Neodiprion lecontei: one gene and its partner. The protein of the gene in region 1 binds, or shares a complex with, the protein of each later gene. Links are inferred from orthologs where the notes say so. Each region holds a gene or a part of one and is shown on either strand. Other genes may lie near its edges.

Region 1 (9,610 bases):
AGCTGTTACTCATCGTGTTCCTTATACTACTTTGAGCAAGTCACAAGCATATTTAGGCGTGCAAAATTGCACGTTGCCAAATTAATGAGTAGATATATTTAATTTTCATTGAATTGCGAAAGAGAACAAAGAAGAGATCAGCCATAGGTTTCAACATCGACTATGGATAAGTGGAGGACATTGTGACAATGTGATTTGTCTGACCTAGAACGTCTAACATGTATGACATAAAGCATGGCGATAAAATTGCAATTTGAACATAAACCTGATGTAAAAGTGAACGATTTTCATCAGGAATAGGCGAATGGTTGGAGTAAACAAATAGTATAAAAAGGACGAGAGAGTTGTTTTAAGTGCACGAAAATACAACGTGTATCCTCTGCACCGTTCTCACGGCCTTCTAATAATAATTTCAGAGCACAAGTCACGGTGACGTTCACAGCGGGTAAAACGTCGGTTGTGTTGGTGAATTGGTGAGCATGTGACCATCGTAACGAAACGCTTTTTAACGGGTTAAAACTCTATCGAAGGGGATGACGGGGAGAAGTAAGGTTGAACCGATTATCACGATGCGACCGAGGGAGTTATTGGATTACGTACCTTTTGAAGTCCCTCATGAGTCTCCTTCTGGCAGGGGTGGACATCCCTTACGAATGGGCTGGTCACTTCTCCTCACGAGTAATGTGCTACGACGGGTTCGAGCCACCCAGCGAATCTTTAGCGCTCCTTGGCACACTACGCACGCGGCAGGTTTCTCCGAGAGGAATAATTCGAGAAACAAGGAAAAAGATACGCGCACAAACACCACAGCCGTAGAAGAGCACAATGGGTTTAAGAAAAAAAAGGAGGGAAATAAGATTTCAAAAAAAAAAAAAAAAACCACGCAACGCGCTACGGTCCTTGACGTGCCGTTATTAACGCGGAAACGAGGACGAGGAGCATCCGTTGTCTTCCTTCTGCTGCGTATATCTCGTTCCCCCTGGACTAAAAGCTGCTATCTCTCGATGTAATACCGTTATATTATGTTACAAGAATTGTATCACATTTACTTCTCGAAACTTCTTTTAACTCAACACTGCTTACCCTACCGATAATTGTCTAATTTTACCCGACGCACCAGACCAACACTTGCCTACATGAAAAAGCCCATGTCACAGACAAATTGAGGAAATTCACTTCCTACACTACCAGAACGGAGAACAGTGTGACACACGGAACAGCGGCTGCTGCTGAGCTATTCGGATCTGACGACTGACGTCAGGAATTTAAATCAACCGTGGCGATTAATCGCTTTTACGAACCCAGACTTTCATCCCACACTCCGCGGCGATAAAAACCAGTCCAGAGACGCGTCGCGTCGCCGCGAAATTCGTTCGTCCTGCCACCTCTAGGTGAATTTAAGTTCAAGCTCCTGGTACCACTAAACCACGCAACATATCATACGTGGCGTATGCGCGGTTGCCTTTAGTAAGGCAAATTGTACTCTGTCTTGCTTTTCTTATCGTTAGTTTCCATTACGTTATTTGAAGAAATTTTTTTTCCCACGAGTTTGATACCAGACGAATAAACAGTCGGATTGGCTTTATGGAATATCATTGACCCTGGAAAGAACTTGTTGGAGTGTAGAATCAGAAATTTGTAACTGGTACCACTGCATTACTGAACATTGTTGAACATATAATTTTGAAAAACTGGTAAATTCGAAAAATTAACGACGGAGCCAGGAATCGAACCTGGTATCTAGCGATGCTTTACCGGAGCCTTACTCCACTAGACCACCTAGCCGCCCTGACTCTGATGTCGTTAATTCCTCTCATCACCAGTAAGTTCAAATTTGTTTTCTTGTGCTGTAGTATGTGTGAATATATAAAGTGTTCTTCCTCTTCGAGCACAACTGTAAGAATGTCTGTAAGTGTGTTTACATTTTGGAAACTTACGCTTCTAATGCGAAGCCCGTAAGACAGTCAATGACCGTCTAATAATTGAAATGCGGATATGCATTATCAATATTAATATTAATCACGAGGCATTTTTCATTGTTGAACATATAATTTTGAAAAACTGGTAAATTCGAAAAATTAACGACGGAGCCAGAAATCGAACTTGGTATCTAGCGATGCTTTACCGGAGCCTTACTCCACTAGACCACCTAGCCGCCCTGACTCTGATGTCGTTAATTCCTCTCATCACCAGTAAGTTCAAATTTGTTTTCTTGTGCTGTAGTATGTGTGAATATATAAAGTGTTCTTCCTCTTCGAGCACAACTGTAAGAATGTCTGTAAGTGTGTTTACATTTTGGAAACTTACGCTTCTAATGCGAAGCCCGTAAGACAGTCAATGACCGTCTAATAATTGAAATGCTCGTTGTGCTCGAAGAGGAAGAACACTTTATATATTCACACATACTACAGCACGAGAAAACAAATTTGAACTTACTGGTGATGAGAGGAATTAACGACATCAGAGTCAGGGCGACTAGGTGGTCTAGTGGAGTAAGGCTCCGGTAAAGCATCGCTAGATACCAGGTTCGATTCCTGGCTCCGTCGTTAATTTTTCGAATTTACCAGTTTTTCAAAATTATATGTTCAACAACGAAAAATGCCTCGTGATTAATATTAATATTGATAATGCATATCCGCATTTCAATTATTAGACGGTCATTGACTGTCTTACGGGCTTCGCATTAGAAGCGTAAGTTTCCAAAATGTAAACACACTTACAGACATTCTTACAGTTGTGCTCGAAGAGGAAGAACACTTTATATATTACTGAACATTCATATTTTTTTGATTCTTTTTCCTAAATATAAATAATACACAACGTTGGTTGAAAAATATTTGCTTCGAATACAATAGAAAATTTGGTATATTTGCTCAGCCTGAATCGTTATAAATATGTATGCGTATTTATATTTACCAGGTTGAGCAAGTGGTACTCTTATCAGCATCCATAATGATAAGGATATTTTTGAAATACACCGTTTCCCAAGTTTTCGATAACTCAGTATCCATGCATGCAATTAAATCACAATCATAACCAAACTGATATGATGAGTCGACAGATTTTCACATGAAGAAATGTTATTTGGTCGGATGCTCGTCATTTTAATTACTTCGAGGAATACGATTTCAAATTTCGAATATTGTTCTGAAAAATTGTTGTGATGATCGATAATAGGTTTAACAATATATATTCAACATTATAATTTTTACAATAAATTAATGTAGTGTACATAAGTATACGCCAAAACGATCCGGCGTGTCTTATCAGTTAAAGTGTTGGTAGTAACCGGCATGATAAGTGTATGGTTACACAACAATGCTTACAATTCGTTCATTATTCATCGAGTTCAACGTGTGTCGTAGTTCTCGCGTCGAGTTGGTCGCACGAAATTCATACACCTCTCCACTGCTTTTCTTTGTACCTTCAACTTTATCATTCTTTCACTCAACTCCGTTTAAGCAATTGGAATTGTCTACATTTGGTCATGAGAGTCACGTGGGCTAAAAAAATCTTCAATCAATTTTCAGCACAATGTCTTGTGAGTTTCTTTTTTCATTTCTATCTTATATCAATGACGCTTGTGATCTATTGCCTGTCAGTAAGCGAACGATCACTAAATGTTCGTAACGATAAGCTAATCTGTGCATGACGTGGATATTATATTTTTAATAGTGGCAACTTGTAACATATCATAATGTCCTACCAAAGTAAACATCTCTTGCGTCAATGATAGCTGTCGTGTCGTTGCGATTGCCATACGCATATTAGAGACCTGATATTCTTGAAAGATTGGCGGAAAAGAGGATAATATGTCATAGAATCAAAGACTATTGATTAGAAATTTCAAGAATTCGAAATTCATCAGTTTGTTTCCTATTTCTGAGATTAATATTCTCATGTATGTTCATTTTATAAACGAGTACGTAATACTTACTTTTTCTTTTGATTTTTTTTACAGATTCACAAAGGTAACTTCACCACTTCAGCAACATTTGGACCCAGTAATCCCAAGTTTCCAATTATTTCTAACAATTTCACGGATGAGCTCAAATTTACCAATGCGACTTCATATGGCTCTATTCCAATATATCGAATATTGGGCTCTGCCACTGAGGATGAAGCAATGGCGAATATCGAGGTTTGTTAAAATTCGAATCACCAGTACGAACCCATGTATTTACGATTCAATGTTTGTTGATATTCATATTTTGAATTTTGAATTTGCCAAAAGCTGGAAGAGGCGAAATATATAAAAATGTACAAGGACATGGTAACAATTACTGTAATGGATAAAATACTTTATGAATCTCAACGGCAAGGCCGAATATCGTTCTACATGACTAATTCTGGCGAAGAGACTGTTCAAATTGGAACTGCAGCAGCTTTAAGTCTAAACGATGTTGTTTACGCACAATATCGGGAGGCTGGTGAGTTTAGATTATTTCTTCGTATCGTATCGCGTCCCTCTCACGACTTCAGCAAACTCAAGAAGTTAAATATCGTTGGTCCTAATCGTCAGAGCTGAAATTTACAATCAGGAAATTTGACAGAAATGCTAAGATAGACTTATAAATAATTACTAACATTTTTTATATTCCAGGTGTACTGCTCTGGCGGGGTTTTAAATTAAAACAATTCATGAACCAGTGCTACGGAAACTGTGAGGATATTGGAAAAGGAAAACAGATGCCAGTTCACTACGGATCTAAAGAATTGAACTTCGTTACTATATCATCGCCACTAACGACTCAATTACCGCAGGGTAAAGTAAACGCCATTTCTGTATTATTTTCAATATAAAGTAATTTAGATACGAAATCCATCCACATTTTGTAACTAATTACATGTTTTTTTATATTCCGTCAGCCGTTGGAGCAGCGTACGCATTGAAACTGGCACATTCGGACCGTTGCGTTGCCGTTTATTTCGGAGAAGGTGCAGCTAGTGAAGGAGACGCGCACGCCGCTTTCAATTTCGCAGCTACTCTCGATTGTCCCGTTATATTTATATGGTAAGTGGATGCAGAATTTGGAAAACTACTAGTTTGAACACTTCATCGCCAACAATACATCTACTAAACATGCGAATGGAATTTAAGGATTTAATTTTTTAGTCGGAACAATGGATATGCAATTTCCACTCCAGCTCGTGAGCAGTACAAGGGAGATGGTATCGCGGCCAAAGGACCTGCGTACGGTATTAACACAATTAGAGTCGATGGAAACGATATATTTGCAGTACACAACGCTACGCGTGCAGCGAAAGAGTGGACTTTGGCAAACGGAAAGCCTGTGCTAATCGAAGCAATGTCATATCGGTATAAAACAATCATTACTTCGTAATATTGTTCACTGATGTTTGTTGTTTGTAATTGGTAGTTGTTATAATCACTTAATTGTGACGTTTAGTACGATTGTACGCTCTGATAAAATTACGGTAGCTAATGAGTAATCATTTTTCATGCGTTTAGAATTGGTCATCACAGTACCTCTGATGACAGTTCTGCGTATCGATCAGTGAGCGAGATTGCCGAATGGGAAAAACTGCAACCGATCGCAAGATTTCGCCAGTGCCTAGAAAAATATGGATTGTGGTCTGAGGAGCAGGAAAAAGAATTCGTATCGTCGATCAAAAAGCAGATACTATCGGATTTTGCAGCGGCCGAAAAGAACGTAAAACCCAACTGGAAGGAGGTGTTCACTGACGTGTACTACAACATGCCAGATCATATTAAGTACGTTTACTTTGTACGATCAATGCGAGATAACTGAACGTGTGAAACAATCGGGAGCTAATGGAGTAAACGTTTGATTTATTTTAGGAAACAATCGGAAGCGATGGCAAAGCACGTCGACCAGTACAAAGAACATTATCCAGTAGAACTTTACAAGCAACAGTGAATCAGGTTTAAAATAATTCCAATCCCGAAAACAAATATCGATCTTTACTTACGTACCTTCATTTTTGGGAATCTGAAAACTTTTTCTGTACCTTTGAAAATATATATATAATTTAATCAACAATTCTTCGAGTTTTATTTTGTAAATATCCCGCACGCGTTAAAACTTTAACCGACCGCAGAGAACAAATATGTATAAAGAATACGTATGAATATATTAAGTTTCAAAAAGTATATCGGTAAAAATTGCTGTTTTTATTCGCTAAATCAAAAGTAAATGCAACACTCGGCATGCTTCTCCGATGACGCGCCCGAAACTTGTGTCGCTGCATGAAAATTTAGCCTAACGTTCGTGAAGTTAGGTTCAAGAATTTAGGAATACATAAACATGCCAAGACCCTGGGTTATTTTTCGTAACGGTTTGCCGGGTCTGGCCGGGTTTGGGGGTATTAGCAGTTTCACGTATTATCAACCAAGTAATTGATCATGCCGGTAAAAGAAGTTCTTCATAACCAACAATTATCGCGTGCAAAACGTTGGTAACATATCGTCGTCATCGCAAAATTGAAAAGTTGAGAAAATCTCGTGCAAGAAATACGTACGCCGAAATTATACAACGGATAAATAAATGTCAATCAAATAGGTATGTCGGAGACGTGTTTTTGTTTGCAAAACTATGCGAGAAGTCTGCGAAACATCAGAAACGTACAATCTAAATATTACTGATCAAACCTCGACTCAAATTGATGCAGTTTAAACTGTTGAAAAATATCGAAAAACTTAACTTCCAGGAGTTTAGATGTGCATATACATGATTTTGCAAATGGGTGAAGCAGGGTAAAAAACTACAGCCTAAACTTTGCAGAGAAATTAAAAACATTTAATTCAGTTAACAGTAACATTCGTCAAATATCAGAATCAACTTTCTACGAATAACAATTTTACACTCAACGGTAATTGATATCAATTTAAACTAGTATTGCCAGTTCATTCTAATTCTTTATTCCGACTGTCCATTCCCTGCGTAAAGGATTAGTGATTAGTGACGTGTGATTACGCGTAAACGATGAAGTCGTCTGGTTCAAGGTTCAGTTCATTACTTATTTTAACACATTAGTTTAACAATAAGTAATTTCTGGAGCAAGGCTCCGATTTGTTAGGGGGTGTTCCGTGTTATTCTCCAACTACGGCAAAAGTCTGCAAAATAAACAATAAATTGAAAAATACGATGTACAACCTATTACTGGTGAGATGCTAACGTCAGAATATTGTCTCAGAAAAGACCAATCGATTGTTGGAAGCAGAACACTTTTGAAGCTTCCGAACGGTCTTACAACTTTTCCGCTATGTGTTTTTCACAGAAATATCGTAATTTAAAGAGTGCACGTCTCCAAACTTCTTGGTACGACCTTTGACGCATTCATTCGAGCGATAAACAGTTCAGCATGAAACCATCCGTATATAATTGATAAGGATTTGATTACAAATAATCCGGAAAATCCATCTTCAGGTGGTATCAGTCGTTATAGTTTCTCATATCCAATTTAGAATTGTAATTAATTGACATCGTTTTTCAAAAAAGTTTTATTAGTGGAACGTAGGATTGAGCTGCATTAAATAACGTTCAATTGTTATTAATTTACTTTATATCGGCGAAACCTTATTCGGATATTATTTATCAATGTCACTTTTTGTCTATGTAAATTTGGGTTGCATGTTCCAAAAATTGGATTCATACTGTAAGTTCTGTCTTTCGGACTTTCAACATTTAATTAACTAGTAATTTTCTACCGAGTTGATCAATGCATCATTTTCATTCGCGTTTAATCATAATAATTTATAAATTTTACCTCCTCAACACTACAACACTCGGTAAACTTTCAACTTTCGTCCTGAACGACACAATTGCAAGTCATATTGTTATTACTATATGGAGAATCTTCTTGTAAAAAAAATTCCAGTACTGACAGGTAATTTGTGGACAATTCGTACACTTTGACAATATTTCCTGGTGAAAATAGTAGAAGATAAATAGTTTGTGATGAATAACATCTTAAAAATATGAGCATTTCCTATAATTCTGACTAAAAAATATCGTCAAAGTTTACGAGGTGTCCGCAAATTACCATTCAGTATGGGATTTCTTGTTACAAAAGGTATCTCGATTGTAATGTAGTTCACTTTCCTGAAGAAATAAAATTCAAAAATGACTCCTTACTGATGGATATTGTATGGCCGGATATCCGGCCAAATCGCTATCCGGCACATCCCTAATATTATTATTAAGGGTTATCAGTAAAATGCAGAAATTACGGGTAAAATAGTATCGACTTCGTCGGGTATATGTATTATATTCTCAAACTCGCAATTCCTAATAATCGATACGGGCACTGCCATAAATGTATAATAAAGCGGACAGATACGGGCAATTATAATCTGGGCCACTTGGTAATAAATTTCTGAACAATCCTGTGTTTGGAGGTCAGCGGACAGAGTCGTAAACTAACCAGGTAATGAGTAGAAGTTGTAAAAAGGAACCTTGATCATCTTTACATTTGTTTTTTATTACTTTTGAGATAATGATTGCCTAAGGATCATCAGGGTTTGTTACAGCATGGACTCAAATATTAGTAACAATCGAATGTTGCCTTATTTCTAAAAAATATTGACAAGTAGTATTTTTGTGTAGAATGGTCTGGGTTTTCCGATGCAAAGAAACTGTATTTTTAACAAACCAGGGGAATATAAAGTAACCATCGAGAAATTATAGTTATAGTTTCGATTTCGAGCAATTATTGCTGTAGCGTTAAAGTGTCCAGGTTTCGAATTGAGGGTTGCGCGTTTGAGGTTTGTAAATATTAAGTTAGATTTTGGTTAGTGGGCTGCAAGCTCAGTATATTAAGAAGTAGCGTGGGTTACGAATAATTTTCTACTGTTTAATTTTGGATCACGAAGAGCAAATTTTGAATTCCTTTTTTTTTTATTTGTTTTTGTATCGCCGCTATTGCAAAATGTATTATTTTATTTTATTTTTGTTAAATAGCGTGTCGTTGTCGAGTGTCTCTCTATCTGTCTTTCTCCCTCTCTCCAAAATTACCCCTCCCCTCGCCGCGGTACTGAACTACCGAGAATATTACCCGAGGTTTAGTGGAGATAAAGATTTCAAGCAGTATTGACCACGCCAGGCGCCCAAGAGAATCTCGCGATATCGTTTGCATGGTCTTTATTTTTCAGCGTACATCGCGGACCGCCAAATGATTGTACGCGCTGTAAGTTATCAGTCGCATCTCCGGGTGGCCGAGGTGCAGTAAAAATCAGCGTCACAGTACACAAATTACGTAAGGAATAACTATATGTCTTCTCCTTTGGTTAAATTAACTCCTTCGACTATTTCTCCTATTATTTGCATCAAGAATAGGTTTCTAACTCTGTTAACAGTAAACCAGGTGTATATTTATTGTGCATCTATTTAGATAACATTAATTTTGTCTATCTGATGGAATTACATTAACATTACCGAATGTGGCAAGGCTCAAATGAACTTGCATAGTTGAAAAGTATAGATAGATAGACAGATAGATACGTCATTCGACTCGGCAAAATCTAGATACACGCGGTGAACGATTAGTAACATCAGTTCTTGTCGTCTTTATGTACCAACCATTTGCCGGATTGGGTTGCGCGTGCACGGCAGGACCATAGACTTAT
Region 2 (11,273 bases), on another chromosome or scaffold:
TCGACGTCGTTAACTGCATTGGAGCGATTTGAGTCAATTTTAAAAAAATCGAAAGTGGACCGGCTGGCTATTGATGAGTTACTGAAAGAGGCTACAAAGAACGCTGACAATATTCGAGCACAACAGGATGTCCTTGCTGGGCGCTTGCAGGTTGTTGAACAACTTAAAAACATATTAGAAGAGCAAATTGGAAACCCAGACGTGCAGGATATAATACACCGCTTTTCAGAGAGCTCACAGTCGAAGCTTGGGGTAAGCAGATACCGCAGTATCAGGCCTTGTCTTTTTCGATCTAAAATAAATCTTCTTTACATTTATCTTTGCGATGTTTTCAGGAGCTAAGATATAAACGGCAAATAAACCAGCTTGAAAATGAACTGCAAATAGTCAATAGCAGAATTGCATCTCAGGAGACTTTAATAAACGCTATGGAATCGGAAATGATTTTTATACAAAAAATCTGGAGTAGATCGTCTAATAACGATGACGGAAGTAGCAATCAAAATCCAGAGATAAACATCATCGATGTAGACGTAGATGTTGTAGATGTAGAAACGGCTTCGATCGCTGTGCAAACGCACATAGAGAGCCGTTCCGTCGAGACGCAAGTCCACCGCGATCAGGAAGCGGTTCCAATTACCAGTGTCAGGAATGAGTCAAACGAAGATGGGCAAACTGATTACACTTCTCAAATAGGTCTGAACGAGAGACTGAATCAAGCGTTATCCCTGGCCTCGGAGCGATCTGCTTTGCTTGTAAAGTACGAGTTGGAAATTGCAGAGTACCGAGAAAAAATAGCCACTCTGAATGAGCAACTTGCCGAAAAAAATTCTCTGCTCAGTACAGTAACCGAAAAAACTGAAGAACCTGTAAAGTTCAATCCAAGTGTTGCAGACATTGAGACCTCCGATAAAATAGTCCTGAGATCGACGGTCAACAGTTTGCAAAAAATTATTACTCAAAAGGAAGAAACCATTCTCAGGTACCAAAATTTGTTGAAAGAAGACAGAGATGAACACAGCAAAGCAGCTGCTCGCTTACAGGAGGAAATCAAGAGTCTTCAGGCTCGAGTAGCTGGAATGCAGCAACAGGTGAATCAAAAGTATGACGCAGTAGTTTTATAACAATGAAATGGAGAGTTGATTTTTCTTTTGTTAATACTTAATTTGCACTCCTGTCAGAATAAACGACTACATTCATTTGCCCGAGGCTTTGCCAGTCAGAGAAAAAGTGCATAAAGATAGAAACAAGAATATCGACCTGGAAGAAGAGGCTGAGAAATTGAACGAACGTGTTTCTACACTAGAGGCTGATTTGAGTATAGCTAAGGAGTTGGGAGAACGATGGCATCGACTTGCTGAAGAGAGACTGAAGCACATGGACCACATGAGAGGAAGGTATCGTATTTTTTTATCAATTTTTAATGTAGTTGAAAGCGGGCTGCCCCCGTGACCCTTACGCGCAGTATCCAATTTGTTTGATACAGATTAGATGAACAGCACAAAAATGAGCTAGAGAGCTACAGAATGGAGCGCGACAAGTGGCAGCTCGAGGCTGATACACTGAGGCAACAATTATCTGACAACAGAGTGCAGCTTGCTAAGGGAAACAGTTTGTTATCCAAAGAGTTGCAAGAAAGGGATAATCGAATTCACGAGCTTGACATAGCTTATCAGGAGCTGCAGGTAACACACGACGTTTTTTAATCGTTTAGTGAATGATATCAACGTGTACAAACATGTCTGATTTTTAAAGAACGAGATGGAACTCGCTGAGAGAAACACAGTTTCGCGACAGACGGTAGCTCATGATTCTAAGATGCAGGAGATCACTAACAGTATTGGGAGAGCTCAGTCCAACCAGTTGCAATCTCAGTTGGATCTTGCCCGTAAGCAACTACAGGCACTGGCGGAAAAAGAGAAGAATTACAAAAGTCAGATCGTCGATCTCAAACAGCAGCTGAGTCGGAGGTGCGAAGATAATTCACTGTAGAGTTAAAAATTTCCCCTTAGCCATACTCGTGTTAGCCTTTTGTAAACCGTTTGTACCAATATTACTACACTGTCTCATTGACTAAATCTCCAGGTACATGGCAGCTAAAACCCACGAACAAAGAAACTCTCAGCGTGAAATACAACTTGAAAGAAAAGCGAGGGGATTAGAGGAAGAGTTGCATACGCTCAAACTACAACTGGAAAGAGAAAAATTCACGCACGAAAATAAGAAACTCAAAGTATACTTCACTCGAGTTAAATGTTGCACAATTTAAGCGACGGGAAACCATAACGCGACAAATAAATTTGCATTTAGAAATACTGTAAATAATCATCAAAATCCGGTATTTGTACGCGTTATGGGTTTCCGGTCCCGAGAGCGTGCTCATAATCATTAAATCATAATTTATGTTCAAGCTTTACGTTCAGATAGTTAAAGCTTTCATGTAATTTAATATTTCCATTCGTTTCATATGCCAACAGACAGCAGAGGAACTAGCACTGTGGGACAAGCAAAAACGATGGCAACAAACGGCTGAGAAGTTCAAGGAAAAATTGAAGGATAAGACAGAGGAGTACAACAAGCTGCAAGCGAATCACGAGAAGCTCAGAGCAGTAGTGTCCTGCATGGAGCGTGAAAAATGGTACCTACGAAGTAAGTTGAGGTGCGAAAATGGCTGCCTCATTGGTAGCTTGTCCGCTAGACCTAGAACGTTGAACCACACGGATATCCTGGAAGATCTTCAGCACGAATGCCACACGCTGAGAAGCAGAGTCCGAGAACTAACCGATCGTCTCGAGAGTGCGGACACGTCACAGCTAATTTTACAGATCGAGGCACAACGACGACAGATTTCATCTCTGGAAACCGTGACCAAGGTATTTATTTTATATCTGTATATTCATTTTGTTCACCTGTTCAGTCTTTATTTCAATCTATCAGGGAAACGAGTATGTCGTCGACCAATTGGAGAGACTTGAGGCGACAAAAGACGTCCTGGAGAAGAACAATCTAAAGTTAGAAAGCGAGAACTTGGAGCTGCGGCTTGAGATCGAACGTATTGTTCTAGATACCCCGAGATTGAGGGAGAAGGTTGAGCATTTAGAAAAGTAAGTCTCTCCGTCCGAGTTGTTGTCGTGAATGAACAGTGCACGCATAAGTTGCAATATTATCTCTGATCGCCAGATACGTGGAACTACTGAAAGTAGAAAAATCTACCGAATCATCGCCGCGTTTATTTCCAAAGGAATCTCACGAGCATGGAAACAAATCAACCGTTGAACTCGAGAAAACCGTGTTTACTTTGAAGCGGGTAATCGAGAAGCTCCAAGCGGAGAACAAGCGTTTAAAAGTAATCGCGAAAAAGAATCCCCACCCGCAATCAATGGTAATAAAATAATAATTAGCTCGCGAGATATCCCTGAGCAATACCTCGATCAGGGTGATAGTCAACCGGCAGTAAAATATTTCTTCCTTTTATTATTCAGACAAGGCCAAACAGCGGCGGAAGCACTTCGTCCCTTCACGGGCAATACGAAAGAGCGCAGCAGCGCGTTGTTGCCCTAGAAACCGACCTCCAATTAGCCGAACAAAGAATAGCGATGCTTGAGAATTCGCGGAAGGAAGAGGACAACGCGGGAGAGATTGGCGTTTTAAGGCAGCAACTTGCGCACAAATCGGAACTGCTTGACAAAGTTAAACAGCTACTGACCAGGGCTGCTATTAACGAAAAATCATTGCGGCAGAAGGTGCGTTGGAAAAATTGAACAGTGGGTAAAACAAAGCGTAAATACTGTGTCTTTCAGATCCAAATGCTCGAGGCTAAACAATCCTTGGAAACCATACCAGAGTGCTACGTATCGCCGCCAACTCCGGACGACTGAGAGTATGTTTAATTAACTAGTCGAGGATGAACATGAACCTGGACTTGTCATCGACGATCATGTGTGTGTTCTCTTTCTTTATTTTATCTAGTCTTAAGGATAAGTAACGAATCGACGAAGCAAGACACCGATATTTATTACACACATTTGAAATTAGCCGAAAACAGTACATAATTTGTAAGGCGGATCAAGACGAATACACGCACGTGAACCTTCAAGGTACCCAAGTATTTCTATATCTATAGAAAGCCTGCGAGGAAATATGAAAAAATGATAATTTTTTTTCTCTCATAACAGAGGAAAAGTGAAAGTTGAAATTTCCGAGAGAAATTCTTCAACAGGTTTCAAAGATGCGAGACGACGTGTGGCGCAATTCGCGGGCAATCGGTATCTGCGAAAATAAACTGCCGATGTAGATAAAAGACGAAACCGTGTGAGTGGTATGTTAATTAATAATTCGTACGGTTATCAAAAAGTCCGGACTGCGGTATATAAGATTGCCAAATGTTACGTATCTATGTACATACATGTAATGTACGCGATATAGATACGAATATGTTGCGCGCGTTACGAAATCCGGTGAAGGTCACGACCCTGCGTAAACCCCAGGTCGAGATAACGCTTTGTGTGTTAATACAATATATATTGCGTGTGTTAGCGATAACGGGGCCCGCGCGTCACTACGAAACACAGTATTTGACGAGCATGGCTACCAGCAAGTTCTGTTCGCGTCTCCGCAACGTTACAAGATTGTCAATAACAAATTCAGGCAGCATTTTCCCCGCCGTCGCTCCGTCAACAATCCGGCATGCAGGAATCGGAAGAACGCATTTCACCTACGCACCGGAATCCCCGCCAACGAATTCCGGTAATCTACGAATATGAAAAGAAGTCTAAAGACTCCTTGTTTTTTTTTCATTCTTTTTTTTTTTTGTTTTGTTTTTTTCATTACTTTGAATTGATTCGAAAGAAAATGAGAATAATAAAAATTAAAGAAAAAGAAACGGCAGCGTCGATCGGGTGATGTGTGTTACAACATGCGGATCATGCTCTTGCACCAGTTCGTGGTTTCCTCGTCATTTTACTTCTCCGCTCCCCCCCCCCCCCCCTCCCCCCTACCCCCTTTCTTTTTCTTTTTGTTTTCGTCTCTCATACGAGAAGTTGAACGAGGTCGTTGGCTATCCGCGGGGCTACTCGATATACAGGATTTTACTTAAGGTCTTTCATTATATACCAGATTCGCGAAGGATATGTACGTTATACTTATTCACCGATTCGCAATTAACGCTTGTCGGCACGTTGAACGAAAAAAAAAAGAACACGATAATAATAATGATATAATGCTCGTTCTCACACGCTCAAACGTCAACTTATCACATGGTCGTAAATTATTGCGATATTTTTACCATACCCGTGAATTGATTGTAGAGATTCTGTTACCAATTTCTCTTTCTATCTGCGAGAGGAATCACCTCGCATCGTTGAGAAATTCTTGACCGTTTATACGACTGCATACCTGTATGTATATGTACGTGCACGTGTACACAGGTGATACGCAAGAGATGAACATGTTCAAAGCAATAAACAACGGCCTTGCACTCAGCATGGAAGCGGACGAATCGGCAGGTAATATACCATTTTCACACATACTACCTTGCTAAGATTCGATGATTTGTACGTAAAGTGAACGTAACCATTTACTTATCTACAAAGTACGTGAAATTTATCTTGTCATTATCCAACAAGCAGATTTCGCGAACCGTGTATATCGGGCAATAAGATCTACGAATTTGCATTAACATTCTACCAGAAATCATAACTGAGAAGCTGTATACACTTTCCTTTCATTTTTTCTATTTTTGCCCAAATTCGTATAATCTACGACCGGTACACACGCAAAAGTCGTTCCAACTTTACTACAAACAATAATTCTTATCTTATCGTCACTTTTCTAATACTGTAGGTATAGGAGGTATATACGAATTTCCAAATTTACGTTTTAGTTTTAGTTTTTCTTTTTTTTTTTTTATCATTTTTTAATAAATCTCTCTCTTCTACCGTCGCGATAATGACGTATAAATTACTTTTACGAATGAGAAATGGATTACAATAGCAAATGGAAGTTGACGCATTGCATACCTTATATCCACGCTTATAACAGTATTCTTCGGGGAAGACGTGGCCTTCGGCGGTGTCTTCAGGTGTTCGATGGGTCTTCAGGAACGCTTTGGTAAAGATCGGGTATTCAATACGCCGCTTTGCGAGCAGGGAATCGTCGGTTTCGGCATCGGCATCGCGAACATGGGATCGACCGCAATTGCGGAAATACAATTCGCCGACTATATTTTCCCCGCCTTCGATCAGGTAAGGAAAAACTTGCCGCGATCTCCGGCGATTCTAAGGTTGAAGATAATTTACAGGAACAAAAAATAAAAGAAATGAAAATCATTTTCACTTCAAGCTCGTCAACGAGGCTGCCAAAATGCGGTACCGCAGCGGCGGAGACTACGATTGCGGAAAATTGACCGTCAGGGCACCATGCGGAGCGGTCGGTCACGGCGGTCTCTACCATTCCCAATCACCCGAAGCTTATTTCGCTCACACTCCAGGCCTCAAGGTCAGTTCACGTCGTATCCTCGTTACAAAGAAAAATCGATTTTCATTCGAAAATATTCAAAGGGTCGATCGTACAAGTGGTGACCGAAAGCTGTCCCTTATCCTTCCCCTTGACTCATCTGAATTTCGCACCCGCACTTTCGCAGATTAAAAACTCGTCCAAGTTTCTTGTTTTTTTAAGCATCGCGCGGCTCTGGACTGTTTTAGTAATAATGATAATAATAATCATGATAATAATAATAACGAGACGTGACTTGGAATTAAAACAAAGGGAGAAAAGCACGCAACCCTTCGCAACGTGTACTTCTTTCTAAAATTTTGCAAATTGTCCCCAGGTCGTGGTGCCTCGTGGACCGATAAAAGCCAAGGGTTTGCTGATGAGTTGCGTGGCCGAGCCTGATCCCTGCATAATATTTGAGCCAAAAATTCTTTACCGTGCCGCGGTTGAGGAGGTTCCGATCGGCAGATACGTTACGGAAATCGGCAAGGCGGAAATCGTCAGGAAAGGTCAGCCGCTTTCCCCGCATCTCTGATTTCGATTTAACCATCTTCGTGAAGTTTCCCTGCGATACTAATGACGACAAAAAAAAAAAAAAAAAGTCAAACTTACGCACGCACGCGCGCACATTCTTCTTTCTTTATCAATGTTCTCCGTTCTTCAGGCACCGACGTAACTCTCGTCGGCTGGGGAACTCAGGTTCACGTTCTGATCGAAGTTGCGAATCTCGTCGAGGAGAAGCTCGGAGTTTCCTGCGAGGTGATTGACCTCGTTACAATCCTCCCGTGGGACGTGGATGCCGTTTCTCAGGTGATTTTAATCCCCGTTTCGAATCGTCGAGGGTCGAGACGTGCGCATAGCCCAGGAATATAAATTTTTCCTCAATTTGTCGAAGTCAACGTTATACACTGCGGTTTCATCAAATGATCAAAATAATCAACTCATTTAACGTTAACTGCTTTTCAGTCGGTGAAAAAAACCGGTCGATTGATCATCGCCCACGAGGCACCGCTCACCTGCGGTTTTGGAAGCGAAATAGCAGCTACTATTCAGGTAAACTTTAACCTACCGTTCAACAAACATTTCACATTGTGTTCGTCATTTCATCAATCCAGAAACATCCGATTACTCACGCGAGATTCAATATCGAGGGTATAATGGAGGGAGGGCTCGACTTTTTTAGTGTGAATTAAAGATTTTTTTCTTTTGTGAAATTTTTACCGAATTCCGATCGCAGCTAATCGTTGAACCGTTAAATTTTTCTTCAGCGCATGCTCGTTATAATGAAACTTTCGATATTCCTGTTGGACGCAATGCTAATCATATAATAAAAAAGGACGTGATATACACGGACGATCGATCGGGAAGAGCGAATGCACCTTCTAAAACTTTCATTTCCTAATTGCTCGGTGACTCGGCGAAGCTTTTGTCTCGAAAACGGAGTTGCGAGATCGTAATCGAAGAGGAATTGACGCGTGGATTAAATATTACCGGGCGAAAGGATATAACAATAAGCGGAAGCATCGCGTGCAGATGCGGATGCTCGAGGTGTTTTTTTTACAACCGTATAAAAATTTGATTCCGATTAACGCAAGGCCTTTTGTGCTATAACGGCAATAATTCGATGACGTTTTAAGCGTATTACATTGTCTTCTTACGTCAATATGAGTCACGTATCGAGGAAGTAAACCGCGTAATGCCGTAAAGCGTTGTGACGGTAACAAATAAATATTTGTAAATATAAAACGACAATCGCATCAGCAAAAAAGCCGGTAGATTCTACTCATAGCCTCCTTTTTTTCAACGAAGATAAACGAATGCTCGCATTTTCGCACAGATTACGAAAGTAATTCCCATCATCGATAAAGTAACAATTTATACGCACACCTTGTAACTTTTGAGTAAAAATAACGCGATGCACAGGAATCGTGTTTCCTGAGCCTGGAGGCGCCGATCCAGCGAGTCACAGGATGGGACACGCCGTTTCCACACATTTTCGAGCCCTTTTATCTCCCCGACAAATGGCGGTGCTTCGACGCTGTCAAGAACATCGTCAACTACTGATAATCCTCGATTCCAGGACGCCAAATCGTCGCACCCGACCGATCCTCTTTCAAAGGACGTGGAAGTGGAAGAAGAAATCCTTCATTACACGCAACGCGGAACAAAGGCTATACTTTAATGTACAATTTCTTTGTTTTTCTTTTTTTTTTTTACTTTCACCTATCTCGCATGTACGTTATAATATAATATCTTGAAAATTCTAAGCTGCAAAGAGCTCTCGTGCGCTCTCCCCGACAGGGAAATACTTTTATTATCCCGTAACTTGTGCGGGTGAAACCTTGAATCGTGTGGTAAGGGGGATGAAAATTTTCGAAAGTACACGGACATCGAGACGTGGCGCGATCCGGTTTTTCTTAATTACTCCCGCCGGGTACATACATGGATTTAGGTAGAAATGTGTACGTGTGTAGGCAGTCGGCGACAAAAGTCAATGATTCGAAAGGACGTCCTTGCCGCTCGGGCGCTGCTGCATGATCTATAACTGCACGTCGGTTTGTACACAGGCATTATCATACAGCCTGAAAGTCTGCGGTGTACGTGATTTCTGTTCCCAATATAATAAGGGATCTGGAAATGAGAAAATCAAGTTTAATTCAATGGAACGATTCAGGATAATAAAAATATTGTACGTAACGTGTATACCTTATATGTACGTCAACTCTAGAACCGTAATTTATTCCCGTAATTTTCTTTCCATTTCACGTCTCCGATCCCGCATGACATAGGATAATATAATGATAAGAACAGTAGTGGAAATCGAATAACACGACGCGGTGACAAAAGTGGGGAAAACAAGCGTGCGGGAGTTGCTCGCCAGCTTTTGGCTAACCGAGAATCTGAAACGACGATCTAATCTTTGGAGATATTCGATCTTTTCACGGTCGATATAAATCAGAGCGCTCGATAAGTAGCCGATCGCGATTTTACACCCAGGATATGGGTAAACAAAAAATAACGCTTCGTACAATCGGTCATTCGATTGCGAAGGGTAATCAAATCAACGCCGACGGTGCAAAAATACTCGAGTCGATTCGACGCAAAGTCATGTCACGAACCCTGTAGTAACGCGATTCTTTTCTCCCGGATACAGCAAAAATCGGCATCAACGAATCGCGACAATTTGTTGCAACAAGGCGCTGATGTACTATACGCAGAACCAGCGCCGAGGCATAGACTGCATAGACATCGGGTATATATAATACGCGAAAATATGCGGTTTCGCAACGAAACGCCCCGAAGCGGCAAAAACCTCATCGCACCATTGCTCCGGATACAGAATACATACACTGGCTGTATTGTGTACGTACACGTATGCACGCAGACCGAGCGAGACTCGCGACCAGGTGTGGACGTGTAATTCACCGGCTCTTACAGGGCTACCTACTGACCATGGCCCAATTCCGTCGATCAGCCGGCCTGAATTACCGCCTGTCAAAATTAACGACTTGTGTACGCGATCTCCGACGATCAGGCTGCTGATCCTTAAAAGCCCTCTTGACGTATCAAGGAAGTCGTGCCTGAATCCGTAAAGTCGGCATCGTCCGCGCGTAAATGTACAATAATACCCCCTGATGAAAATGATTTCTACGATTTTATACGAATTTTTAACAAAATTCGTACATTGCGTAGAATTTTGTGCAAAAATTTACATAGATTTTCGTCAAATTTGTTTTTTCTCTCGGGAAAAGATCGACAAGCTACTACAATTTTCAAGGAAGTTTAACAATTCTTCACGAAAAACTATGCGTATTTACAAGTTTGTGAGAAATAATACGAAATGTTCCAATTTCTGTGAAAGATCGTAGTAGTAGAACTTTCCGTCCGGTTACTCGGCTCTTTTGTATAAGCAAAAATTCCCCCGTGCGTACCGTATAACAATTCCACTGCGGGGGGTGTCGAATTCATACAATCAATGTTGATGCATTGAGAATAACCCAACAATTACCTTGTAAAAAATTGGCGGTCAAAATCGACCAACAGCGCCGATGTGGACTACTATGGAAAAATTTTTGTGATCATTTTAGAATTTGAACGTCAGATAACTTTAAATTGATACCAAAAAACATTCCGTCAAAGTCGACACCGCATGTTTTTTACAGTGTACCGATTACTACCTGAGGATTAGATAATCAATCGGCGAGCTGCGAAATGATTTCGAGATTTGTGCGTTTGATACGTTTCTTTGCAACATCGTCCACTGTCAAATTGCACCGATTAAAATTGACGATATTGAAAAAGCAAGCGTGATTTCCTTCCACTTGATCGGCATGTAACACATCATACATGTACGTACGTAATACCTGCAAAATATACAGTGTACATACCTATATTCTAACGATGAGGAAAGCTGATCCGTCTGACTTCCGAAGGACGTGAACTTTAAAAGACGTCCCGGATAGAACGTCGCTGAATGTAGGCATTAAGCATATATACCTTAACCAGCTGTACCCGATGCGCACACACAGATGCTGATGAGGAACCCGTTCTCGGAGTCCGCGAACTTCGATGCAGTATCCGCGACGACCGGAGTCGAGAATTCATTAAAAATAGGTGCGTAATAACGAGTCTCTTGCCCCTGGAGGCGAGAAGCGTTTGAACCGGCGATTTTGCTTTCCCGCATTTTCACGGGGTCATTTCCTTTCGCGTTTTGGGTAAATGAGGGCATTCCTTGTGCCTGTCGAAGAAGGAGACGCGGTTGTTTTAAGTCACCTAGGATT

Evidence for each region.
Region 2: the proteins of 2-oxoisovalerate dehydrogenase subunit alpha, mitochondrial (region 1) and 2-oxoisovalerate dehydrogenase subunit beta, mitochondrial are in contact, whole or in part, in a crystal structure (PDB 1V16), measured with the Homo sapiens proteins. The link is inferred for Neodiprion lecontei from reciprocal best matches to the Homo sapiens genes BCKDHA and BCKDHB. Residues at the interface, in NP_000700.1 of Homo sapiens: Phe155, Leu185, Gly186, Lys187, Arg189, Gln190, Gly196, Cys197, Lys198, Phe202, Val203, Thr204, Ser206, Pro208, Thr211, Pro214, Gln215, Val217, Gly218, Ala219, Tyr221, Ala222, Arg225, Gly244, Asp245, Ala248, Asn251, Phe252, Thr255, Leu256; in NP_000047.1 of Homo sapiens: Pro89, Thr90, Val92, Asp117, Arg118, Phe120, Asn121, Thr122, Pro123, Cys125, Gln127, Gly128, Ile129, Gly131, Phe132, Ile134, Gly135, Ile136, Val138, Thr139, Asp158, Gln159, Asn162, Glu163, Ala165, Tyr167, Arg168, Tyr169, Arg170, Ser171.

The regions. Positions count from the first base shown.
Region 1 is NC_060263.1:34,351,940-34,361,549, forward strand, and holds 2-oxoisovalerate dehydrogenase subunit alpha, mitochondrial, read left to right. Parts: upstream 1-3,304; coding exon 3,305-3,541; intron 3,542-3,961; coding exon 3,962-4,141; intron 4,142-4,234; coding exon 4,235-4,430; intron 4,431-4,603; coding exon 4,604-4,765; intron 4,766-4,869; coding exon 4,870-5,014; intron 5,015-5,116; coding exon 5,117-5,320; intron 5,321-5,473; coding exon 5,474-5,737; intron 5,738-5,824; coding exon 5,825-5,903; 3' UTR 5,904-6,026; downstream 6,027-9,610. Other genes in the region: ubiquitin-conjugating enzyme E2-17 kDa, read right to left, coding at 601-644. UniProt on the Homo sapiens protein: Together with BCKDHB forms the heterotetrameric E1 subunit of the mitochondrial branched-chain alpha-ketoacid dehydrogenase (BCKD) complex.
Region 2 is NC_060260.1:1,511,549-1,522,821, forward strand, and holds 2-oxoisovalerate dehydrogenase subunit beta, mitochondrial, read left to right. Parts: upstream 1-4,543; 5' UTR 4,544-4,583; coding exon 4,584-4,746; intron 4,747-5,426; coding exon 5,427-5,504; intron 5,505-6,039; coding exon 6,040-6,242; intron 6,243-6,339; coding exon 6,340-6,495; intron 6,496-6,829; coding exon 6,830-7,001; intron 7,002-7,156; coding exon 7,157-7,302; intron 7,303-7,458; coding exon 7,459-7,545; intron 7,546-8,415; coding exon 8,416-8,556; 3' UTR 8,557-9,189; downstream 9,190-11,273. UniProt on the Homo sapiens protein: Together with BCKDHA forms the heterotetrameric E1 subunit of the mitochondrial branched-chain alpha-ketoacid dehydrogenase (BCKD) complex.